3 linked regions of the Ovis aries genome follow. The protein of the gene in region 1 interacts with the protein of each later gene in a biochemical or structural test. Links are inferred from orthologs where the notes say so. Each region holds a gene or a part of one and is shown on either strand. Other genes may lie near its edges.

Region 1 (4,345 bases):
TTCATTGTGAATATAGCAGTGTGTACTCGTCCATCCCAAACTCCCAATCTGTCCCTTCCCTACCCACCTCTCCCTGGTAACCATAAGTTCACTCTCTAAGACTACCCCTACTCAAAATTTGATCACATCTTGAAAAGTCAATCACAATGATTACATCAGCTTTCAGTAAACAATACTTCTTTTGCCTATAAAGCACAAATGTCAGTTACAACTACGACCAATTGAAAGGCTTCTTTTAAGTCTTGTTCTCACCTCAAAACACTGAAATTCGAACTACCATATGATCCTGCAAATTCACTCCAATTATATATCCAGAAAAAAGAAAAAAAGTACTAATTTAAAAAGATGCATGCCTAAATGAGGAAGTGGGGATTAACATCTGCACACTACTATTATCTGAAACAGATAATCAACAAGGACCCACTGTATATAGCACAGGGAACTCTACCCAGTACTGTAATAACCTCCCTGAGAAAATAATCTGAAAAACAACAGATACATGTATAACTGAATCACTCTGCTGTAAATCAACTATACTCCAATATAAAGATTTTTCTTTAAAGCATCAAAACTAAGAAAAAGGGAAGAATACATATGAGCTTCACTTGTTTTCAGGTCAATTAAAAAAAAAAAGATACCTGCATCTCATTGTTCACAGCAACACTGTTTACAGAGGGAAAGATATGGAAGCAATCCAAATGAACATCAAGGGACTAATGGATAAAGATGTGGTATACACACACACACAACGGAATACTACTCAGCCATAAAAAAAGAATGAAATCTTGCCACTACAACAACATGAATGGACATGGAGGTTATTATACTTAGTAAAGTAAGTCGGAAAAAGACAAATACTGTCTGATATCACATATGTAAAAACTAAAACGAATATATTTAGCAAAACAGAAACAGACTCACAGATATAGATAACAAACTCCTGGTTATCAGTGGGAGAGGGAAAGCAGGAGGGGCAAGATAAGGTTATGGGATTAAGAGATACCAACTACTAATGCCACCCCACTCCAGTACTCTTGCCTGGAAAATCCCATGGACGGAGGAGCCTGGAAGGCTGCAGTCCATGGGGTCGCTGAAGGTTGGACACGACTGAGAGATTTCACTTTCCCTTTCATGCATTGGAGAAGGAAATGGCAACCCACTCCAGTGTTCTTGCCTGGAGAATCCCAGGGACGGGGGAGCCTGGTGGGCTGCCGTCTATGGGGTCGCACAGAGTTGGACACGACTGAAGCGACTTAGCAGCAGCAGCAGCAGCAGCAACTACTAAGTATAAAATGGATAGGCAACAATAATATATTATTGCACGGGGGGTGACAGCCATTATTTTGTAATAACTTTTAATGGGGTATAATCTATCATAATACTGAATCACTATGTTCCCTTTCATGTCATACCTGAAAACTAATATTATGTTGTAAATCAACCATATTAAAAAACTGCCACTCTGAAGTGAATGTTGAAGTGACCCAAGGGTAACTGGACACAACTCATTCTCCGAAAAGTCACCTGAAATCTGCTGTCTGCCCACCCACATCAACTTAACCCCAAGTGACCTCTTTCATATCCAGGTAAACCAATCATAATGATTACATTAACTTAATCAATACTCCTTTTGCCTACTGAGTACAAACATCAACTACAAGTATGATCAATCTAATGGTTTCTTTTATAAATTTTATTCTCAAACTCTGGAGTTCCTCTCAACTGTGGTGTGTAGAAATGGCTTCTGAAAAAGAGCCCTATGAAGTGAAGTGAAGTGAAGTCGCTCAGTCATGTCCGACTCTTTGCGACCCCATGGACTATAGCCTACCAGGCTTCTCCATCCATGGGATTTTCCAGGCAAGAATACTGGAGTGGGTTGCTATTTCCTTCTCCAGGGGATCTTCCCGACCCAGGAATCGAACCCGGGTTTCCTGCATTGCAGGCAGACACTTTACCCTCTGAGCCACCAGGGAAGCCCAGTACTCTGCAAACATTGAATCTCATGAAACGACCCTAGGGAAAAAATAGACGACTAGAAGGTGCAGTTAACATTTATCAATAAGTTTATCCGATGTCAGGCGCTCGACGCACACGATCTCGTTTTAATACAAACACACACACATGGAGACAAACTCAGGAGACAGGTACTGTTTCTATCCTCCTTCAGGGGATGGAAAATCAGGCCTGAGTGTTTAACTCACATATGATCGGCATGGCCAACAACCACTACTCTGGATCTAAACCCATTGTAGTGTTCTGGCTAAAACAGTGAGTTAAAGTGTAGGTCTAGAATATTAAAGCTAAAGCTGCGGACGGCGGGGGAGGGGGCAAGACCGACTGGACGCACGGTAGAAAATAGGGCACCGGCAGCCCAAGAACAGGGTACTGACTCACATTACTATAGCCGCCAAACTGAACTGACAGGCATCCACCACCCACAAAGTTCAAAGGAATCCAGTCACCTCACCGCCGAGCCACCCGCTCCGAGCCGCAGGTGCTCACAGCGCCAGGATTCTGGGGTCAACGAGCCGGGCACTCACCCTCGAGTTCAGCCAGGGCCCGGGCTGCCTCGCCCCGGGCCCGCGCCACTCACTGCCGTTCCCCGCGGACACCCGGCCCCTCGCGGCCTCCCGCCCCGGCGCTGCGGCCTAGGCCGGCGCTGCCCAGCGGGGCTCCAGATCGCCCCTCTCCCCGGCCCAAGGACCAGCACTGACCGTTGTATGACTTCCCCTCGTCCGCCATGGCACAGCTAGAAGCAGGGGCGGGCTGCGTCGCGGGCCGCCACTTAGCCAAACGTCCGAATGCCCAGGCGCTCTAGGTCGAAGTGCTCCTACGCCGGCTACCACCGCGTTTATAAGGAGACCGTGTCGCGCGCTGTCGACGTCCCACGATCATAGGCGGAGCCGCTGGGAGATGCGCGTGCGCATTCGACCAGCAGAGACACCGGGGCGGAGCTTGAGGCCGACGCTCCGCCCAGTAGTGATTAGTTTACTGATCCCCCTGATTAGTACTCGCACCTGCCCTCTGCTTTCATCGTCGGCCGGTAAGCAGCACCTCCAAGGTTGGCACTGAAGCAGAGATGGCCACTGCACCCCAGGGTTCAAAAAGAAAAAGGGAAGGAGGGCCACAAGAAGGGCTTCTGAGGAATGGGAGACCAGTGCCTTGGAGTGACCGCTTCAAGACCCCTAGGAGGATCCAGCCTGGGCTTAAGTCTCAGCTCAGCCCTTTGCCTTCTACAGATCTATGCCTTGCTTTCCTTGCCTATAAAATGAAATAGAAAACTAGAAGGTAAGCTCCAAGAGAGCAAGGAGTTGACTAATTCATGGCTTTTTTTTTTTTCTCCCCAGCACCTGGCTCAGTACCATACCTGGCATGTACCAGGAACTCAGCAAATATTATGAAATAAATTTCCAATCTATGCAACACCCCCCCCCCCAATAGTTGTGGAGTCAAATGAGAAAAACTGCATTTGTCAGGCTTTGATCATCTTCACAGATCACCCCACCCACCATCAATGTGCTGTGCTTAAACCCACATCGTGTGTCAACTAAAGTTAAGATGCAAGCAAGAGCACCCCCTGGACACAGGTCAAACGGAGAGCAAATACTAAAAGGCCAGGGCTAAGAAAGGCCAGGGCTCTCCTAGATAACTACCGCCCCCAACCCCAAGGTACTACAGCCAGCCCAGTGTGTGACTGTTGTCACTATAGCTTGAGCTTCCTTTGGGGTGTGTGAAATTGGGGTACTCCAGTGATCTCAGAATGATGTGGTTGTGGGTCCTGGTCAGGACTGACAAGCATATTGACCTTCCAGGGTAGGGTAGGTATTCCAGGCAGATCTCTACTTCATTCTCCTGTGACTGGTTTGGATTTGGTGAGGGGCTTCAAGAGGGGACCAAGAGCCTCAGCTGGAGCTGGGAACAAATTCTTCACCTTTCACTCCTGGCAGCAGGCAGAACTCCTGCTTCATCCAGCCCAAGGAAAACGGTAGGACTGGAAGATGCAGATGAAACAGGTCCAAATACTTCTGGAGATGGTCCTAGAAGTTACCACTAATCAGAGACCCACTCTGGGATCGTATACCCTGCTTTGAAGGGAATTTTCCATGATAATTAAGTACTGCTGCACTGGGTTAGGCCTGCTGGAAGCAGCTGTGTATACAGAGCCCAAAGCCTGGCCCCTCAGGGTCATCAGTCCAGCCCTTTCAGTTGTAATACTGGGCAGCAGGCTCCCTCCATTTCTGCCTAGGCCCTTCTTCGGCGCTCCCACCCAGAAATGACGACATGGCTAGTGAGGCTGACAGTCTTGCTGTAATTGGGAGAAAACGGGCTGCAGCACGTTTGGCAG
Region 2 (3,692 bases), on another chromosome or scaffold:
GTGCTGCTGCTTGAAACAGGTACTGAACTTCCTAAAAAACAAAGCAAAAATACAATAATTCTAATTTACATTATGTCACGAGCTCCATGACACCACATAAGTCCAAATGAACAATTTTTATCAGTGTTTCCTATTAAGACAGAGAAAATGCCAGAAATATAAACATCACGTTGTTAAAAACGGTCCAGACATCTCAGATTTCTTTTAGTCTTATAAATGAGCAACTCACACTCACCTTGCTCACTGTTGAGTGTCCTCTTAACCCCAAGGTTGAATAGCCATGTTTTGTTTTGTTTTTTAAACTGATGCTCACAGATCAGGGCATAAAAGACTAAATTTTCCTTAATAATGTTTGTCAAATTTTGTTAAGCATCACAGATTATAAAATATAAGTTATAAATCGTAGGGAAGAGCCTAACACATAAAATACACAGTCATGGCCATATTAATTTCAAGATTCCAAAGCACAGATCTCTGACTCTGAAATGACCATTTCTGCACAGAAGTGTTGCAACTCAAGTAGACGTGACCTACTATGTTCAAGGCATTTCGGTTAAAACGCAGCCATTTAACAGACATTGATTAAGCACTGTAATGTTCTTAGGTTCTGGGAATATTAAGATGAGTAAAGTGTCGATTCTAAAGGTGCTTCTGGTCTAAAAAGGGGAAAGTAAAACAAACATAAATGCATAGTACCACCATCGCCAAGATGGAATGACAAACGATCTAAATAAGCGCACAGAGAAGACACTACTACGAGACAGGAGGATTCACAGAGGTCCTATTTACACTTTTAAGCAGACGTAGCAATTTCGTGAGGAGAGGCAGCAGCATAGGAGGGACGGCTCAGTAAGGCGCAGCTGCGTGAAGAAATGCAGGGTTGCAAGTAAAGCCATTCGCTCTGGAAGCCCCACTTCTCTCAACGTCCTCCGGCTGTTGTCACTTCTCCCAGTTACCTGCTCTGTGGTTTTTATCGTTATGTTCTCTTCCACTTTGCCAATAAAATCCTACCGTCTTTGGTCCACTGCCCTCTCACAAGGTCTCATCTACCCTGATGATTTTAATCACCAACAAAATCTTTCCCATTAGCACCCAAGACCCATACTTCCGGGCGTCAGTGCTGTACTACCTCTTTGATGGGCGTTCCACTACGCACCTGGCTGGCCTGGGGAGAAGACAACTCCTCCTGATGTATCTCTGCAATCTGTTTCATTCCTTCCTCGGACCCTTCTGCTGCTCTTCTAGTGGACAGCCTTATTGAGACTTCTGGTTTGGTTCCCTTGAAACCCATCCTCGTAAGAAGCAACCAGTATTACATGGTTCTTGTTTGGTTCTTGTCTTTCCTCTCAATTAACTGTTTCAAAGTTCTATTCTTGCTACTCTCTTAAGCTAAGCAGAATTCAGTTTTAGGCTATCCTCTCTGTTTGCTCCACTCACTCACCTTACATCACCTCTTCTCTCATCATTTATTTGAAAATTATGAGTGAATGATTCCCAAATCTGTGTCTCCAGTCCAGAGTGTCTATAATCAGTTTTATATCTTAAAAAGTCTTCTCACACATATCTGTCAACTTCAGCAGCTTGAACTTAATGTATCTTCAACTCAATACATTATTCTATCCCCCTCCATTTGATTTCATTAGTACATATCACCACTATCTCTATCCATATTATTGATCAACTTCCTAATCTGTGCTCTGGTCTCCAAATTTTGTTGCCTTCAAATCCATCCTCCAAAAAGCCACCAGATGATTGAACAAAAGTACAAGTTTGACCCATCAACTCAATTAATTTTGCTCTCAGACATCCATCAACAGCTTTTTTTGTTAAAGGGACAATGAGGATGACAGATGGGAAGAGAAAGATATTTCAGAATAAAGACTCTGAAATCTTACTCCTGTAGAGATGTCTAGCAGGAATCAAGAAATACAGCACACCCCTTGTGTTAGGATAGGGTTCTAGGCTATGAAGAGCTTTTCACTGTAGACACAAAACCACGCATCCATCAATAATGCAATAAGAATAGGAAGTATAATTCCCAGGACACTTATAACATGTTTTATTTAGTATCTATGTTACCATGTATCTGTACCAAAGAATTATATAATAGCATTACAAAAACATCAAAGAGTCAAATGAATTAATTCCAAATGAATTAAAGATCAGTGTAAATCTTCAGTAACTCTTTCAAAATTGAACAGAGAAACAGGAAAAATTCAACTCTAGCTCCATTTTTCTGTCTGCCCAATAGTACTTTTTCATTAACGATTTAATAATTTATGATCATTGCAGGGTCTCTGGCAGATAGCACATACAGGTATAGGTATCATCATTAGTGCTCAGCCACACTCTTCTGATAACACAATACTGTCTACTCCTTAATGAAACTAGCTGTGGAAATGACCGCTAGCCATCCTCACTTCCTCTTTGAGAAAAAGAGACAGAGTAGTATTTTATTCTGTGTAAAGGTCTGAGAAAGAGTGCTCCGTTCTAAGACCTTTGCATCTGTATCAGCCAACTTTGAATAGATCACGAAGAGCCAGAAGTTTCTAATAAAAGTGCACACAAAGAAGAGGTCAAAGCAAATGCTGGACTGATTAACACACAACCTAGGTTAAGAGAACGTGCAGTGTCAGTTCCAGGCAAGTCATTTTCATCTCAAGACAGTTTGGAAAATTATTGACACAGGAGGAAATGCTTGTCCTGAAACATCTAAAATACTGAGGTTTGTTCTTCGCTGGTTTACAGAGAATAGAATTAAAATGTTCTATTAAAGTAATGAACAAAATTATTCCAAACAGCCATAAACGTACCTGGTTTCTCAGACATACAGGACACACACTTATTGTCTTCTGCATTATTAGAAACACAGCACACTGGACACTCCCAAGATCCCACGGGCCTTTTGAATTTATCTGCAAATCCTAAGGCACCAGTGGTCACAGTGCAGCTGGAGGAGGAAGCAGCCACAGTTACAGCGCTTTCTGAAGCCGCTGGCAACGTAAGGACTCGCTTAACACCAGTTCCCGGTTTCGGTGTTTCACAAGCTACACATTTTATCGCTTCAGGTTTATTCTGCACTAAACAGGTATCACAATCCCAAGTTCCTACTGCTGGTTTAAATTTGTCTCCGAAGCCTGTCGTCCCTGGTGTGGAAACAGTCAGTTTGCCGCTTTTACTTGGTGTCCCGGTTGCAGTCTGTTTAGCAGAATCTTTTGGTAGCAATTTTGTTGTTTGGCAGGCTACGCATTTGTTGTCTGTGACTTTGTTCTGGAGTAGACAAGTATCACACTGCCATGACGACCCAGCTTTTAAACCTTCCCCAAACCCAGTTCCACTAGAAGAAAAGCTGCTTATTGCTGGTCTTGTGTGAACTACCGGGCTTGTGGTGGCAGGTTGAGCAGCAAGAGAATCTGCCTTCGGTGATGCAAAACCTACAACCGGGGGGAAGAGGTGGGTGGGAGGGGAAAAATTAGTTAATGTTTTGATTAGAATGTCTCCCTGTTTACTGTTAATAAATATTAATAACATTAATTAATATTGGGCTGGACAAAAAGTTCATTTGGGTTTTTTCCGTAAGATCTTACAGAAAAACCCAAAACAAACTTTTCAGCCAACCCAATAATGTGATATGCTTATAGCTGTTAGTAATATTATTCCTGGGAGAAAACATTTTTTACCTTAATTACAGA
Region 3 (3,692 bases), on another chromosome or scaffold:
CCTAAGGGCCAGAACATATTACCTTCAAAATGTGACAAAAGCTTGTATCAGCCAAAGGACGGACGTTTTAAGATGTAATCCTTAAAGGGAAAACTCTGCTTACTCTCGGGTCAGTCAAAACAGACATCTCAAACCAGGAATTTAAATTTTTTCGTGGAAAACTCTTTATAGGAATTCCAGTAACAACCAACAAAATAACACTAAAAATAAATTGGCTAGGAGCTGAATGATTAATTTTTCATAAACTTTGAAATTGTGATTAAAAATCTAAATTAGCTTGATGGTTCTTTTTTTACCAGTAATACTTAATGAGTCATTTAATGATATACTTAAGAAATTCCATTCATTTGAACTTGAGTTCCAGAAAAATCAATTAAACAAATACATTTAAAAAAAAAAAAAAAAGGCAAAAGAAACAACTGGCTGTCACAAAGAACATCCAATGTTGAGATTACAAATTCTGGCTAGCGAGAATTAGAACCAGATTGTTTTAGACAAATGCTTTCATTCCACTCTTAAGTTTAGGTAGATAGTTTACCAATGTTATAAACCTGAACAATAGAATGAGCAACACAAATAAGATTCATCCAAATGATGGCACTCTGTAGCTAAGCACCAAACTAAACATAATTTTGTTATAATACATACATTTAGAAATGGTATCAAGCCATTGTTTCAAAAACACTGAAGCACAAATTGCCCAGATCTAACAAAAGCCACGATGTCAGATAAAGAATCAAACAAACATGGAGCAAAACCCACAGTACTCTACTCTTCGATAAGCTGGCATATCAACTTTAAAAAAAAAAAAAAAAGAAAGCCACATACACTTTGGATTAGAGTTAAAATTAGGTATCAAGGACTTCACTCTCTAAAAAAGTAAAATCATTTGTCCAGCCATCTTATCAAAAGGTATTCAAAAGTTAATGGTTAGTGAGACTATTTAAACTGGAAAAAATGTATCTAGCCACAAATTGTACTTTGACCCCATTTATTTATGCATAGACTGCACACTGACATAAGTTTCTGAACAGGTGTCTATTCCATATTAGCGTGTCAAGCAGTTTTTTAAAAGCAAAAGGACCAAAAGTGTTCATTGTAGGACTTCAGGTATTTTCCCTACAGGCACACCAAGGACCTCTGTGCTCATAGCCTATTATCTTCCTTCTCTCAAAATGGCTAGTTTTTCCAGTTTAAAAACAAAAAACACAAAAGTCTCCAAACTTACAAAGAAAACTTATAAATGCATAGTGAAAACTAAAAAGGATGACACAGCAGTGATGAGGCTTTCATGCTAACATGCATTAGACACCTGTCATAACGGACAATTAAAAATTACATGACGTTTTCTTGGGTTATTATTGGTGCTATTTTAAAACTATCCGCTTTGATAACAGAAAGAAAACAGTTGAGTTCTGCCAGGCTTTCAGTAAGTCACTTACATAGCATAGAAACATGACCATGATCCAAAGGTCCTCAAGTTTCTAATCATAATTAAATATCAAGGGCTTTGGCTAAAGTCCTCAACATTTAAACCACAGGGGAAAATACACTTACAAATGACGTGAGAAACTAGGGGTTGGGGGTGGAGGAGGAAAATTAAAAAGACAAGGAAACCATGAATTAATGTTAAGCAGCAAAAGCTCTTGTTAAGAATCAGAAATTGATAATCTTCAGTTTTGGAAAAAAATGTGGAAGTGGGCTAAATTATTTTATACTAATTTCAGGTCTCTGAGAAAATAAACCACTAAAAAACGGTTTTCCTAAACTGATTATTTCAATTCTCTGTGGCTGGACACCAGCGAAAATATAAACACAAAATTTCAAAGATACTCAAAATACTTTCAATAATGTGAAGTCATCGCTGTTTAAATATGAAAATAAAAATCCAAGCAAAATTTTTAGAGTATGTCAAAAGTATTTCACAATGACTTAAAAAAAATTCTGCAATCCAGATATGGGTGATTAATGCCCACTGAAATAAAAGGATGACTTATGAGCCTGCAGACAACTCTTCTTTCTATTACTGAAGTCAGAAATTTGGGTGAATACAAAAATAAAAACTCACCTCTGATGAAAAACACAAGTTTTGAAATTTGCAACAATTAGAACTGTACCTGCTATACCCCTCTGAAAGTCAGTGAAAACACCACCACACACCAATAACTGACCAAAGAATTGTGATTTTAAAAGCACCTACTCACTTCCTGCATACTAGTGTAAGCAAAAGACAACGTGGTTTGTAACACACTCCTCTATTTTTACTGAACAGCTACAAACCAAAAGTGCATATATGGGATACAGAACTCAAAAACTAATGGTAAAAACATATATGTTAAAGCAAGCTCTTGGGAACACACCATTTAAGAAAAATACTCAAATACTTGATTAAAGTAATTGCAACATTTTATGTATCCTTTACCAGCTTATATATACTCCTTGAGATCCCTGCTCAAATTTCAGCCGCACAAATAATATTTCTGGTACAGGAATTATTTACCGACCTACCAATCAAAGTCATTTTTAGGTGTGTATTATCTTTTTACAGCTAGTGGGCTCTTTGTTTTTCAAATTCTAACTTTTCAAATTTCTGGTTTTGTAACTTTGAGGATTTTTTTAAGTTCAAGATTAAAAAAGAAAAAAAATTCGCAGAAAAAGAGGAAAACAGTTACACATAAGAGTGGAAACTCCTAATTAAAGTAAACCACTTGCCTGCTACCTTTAGGGGAGTCCTTTCACTTAAAATAATAGCTAAACTCTCCTGACTTCTGTTTTTTAAAGAGGTTTATAAAAATATAAAAAAGAAAAAACCTAAAACTAAACAACTAATTAAAAAGAAAATTTCATCCGATGCTGTATCCCATTACACATCACAAAACAGGAACCATGTCAAAGTACTAAATACAAGTTACACATGGACTTTAAGACGCACCACGGACAATGATCATGACCAGGTAATCTTCTTCAGATTTGGCCAGTGCCTTGGCAGGGGAATCCAGGAACTGCTGGGAGAACTCACAGGGTGGAAAGGCATGAAGGACTCCGGTGTTTTCCTTGTCTTTGTTGCCCCCCACAGGGAGGCTGATCACCCCAGCGGCCTGCTTTTGCTTTAAGTAGGACACGAGGTTCCTAAGTGGCCTCTGAGTAGAGGTGGCAGTGTCTGATGTGGCTGAGGAAGAAGAAGACCTGCTATCAGAACTTCCAGGCACAGCCAGAAGAATAGCATAACCATTGGGCCCTGCCACTTTGATGCGTCGCGTTACTTCATCCAACTTGGGCTGGTCCAAACGAAGACGCTGAGTGATCTTGAGCTGGGCCACTTTGCCTCCAGTTGAGCCCTCCACAAGAAGACTACTAGCCACCTGGAGGTCACCCTGCAACAGATGCATGTTGGAAGGAAAGTTGCTGTTCTTCAACAGGAGCATGCCCTGCCAGGCCAAACAGAGTTTGGGAGATGCTGCTGCTGCAGGGGCGGTCCCCCCATCCTGTTTCTGGGAAGGGGACTTCAGCTTCGATGAAGCAGTGCTGGTGCTGGATGCACTCCCATCAGGCCGATCTTCTTTTTTCAGAGGGCTTTTACCCTCCGTGGAAGCAGTTGTCCGGTGCTTCTTATCCCGTTCAGCTGATGCGGAGTTTTTACGGTCTCGCTTGTCACCCTGGCTCTTCTCCAAACTACCTCGTCGGTCTCTGAT

Evidence for each region. The genes of interacting proteins can lie anywhere in the genome.
Region 2: the proteins of NXF1 (region 1) and NUP153 form a complex in vitro, tested with the Homo sapiens proteins (2 studies listed by BioGRID and IntAct). The link is inferred for Ovis aries from reciprocal best matches to the Homo sapiens genes NXF1 and NUP153.
Region 3: the proteins of NXF1 (region 1) and RBM15 form a complex in vitro, tested with the Homo sapiens proteins (2 studies listed by BioGRID). The link is inferred for Ovis aries from reciprocal best matches to the Homo sapiens genes NXF1 and RBM15.

What each region holds. Positions count from the first base shown.
Region 1 is NC_056074.1:37,645,457-37,649,801, forward strand, and holds the start of NXF1 (nuclear RNA export factor 1), read right to left. Parts: upstream 2,856-4,345; 5' UTR 2,743-2,855; coding exon 2,715-2,742; intron 1-2,714.
Region 2 is NC_056073.1:39,060,126-39,063,817, reverse strand, and holds part of NUP153 (nuclear pore complex protein Nup153), read right to left. Parts: intron 3,435-3,692; coding exon 2,814-3,434; intron 32-2,813; coding exon 1-31. UniProt on the Homo sapiens protein: Component of the nuclear pore complex (NPC), a complex required for the trafficking across the nuclear envelope. Functions as a scaffolding element in the nuclear phase of the NPC essential for normal nucleocytoplasmic transport of proteins and mRNAs.
Region 3 is NC_056054.1:87,643,985-87,647,676, reverse strand, and holds part of RBM15 (RNA-binding protein 15), read right to left. Parts: coding exon 2,933-3,692; intron 1-2,932. UniProt on the Homo sapiens protein: RNA-binding protein that acts as a key regulator of N6-methyladenosine (m6A) methylation of RNAs, thereby regulating different processes, such as hematopoietic cell homeostasis, alternative splicing of mRNAs and X chromosome inactivation mediated by Xist RNA.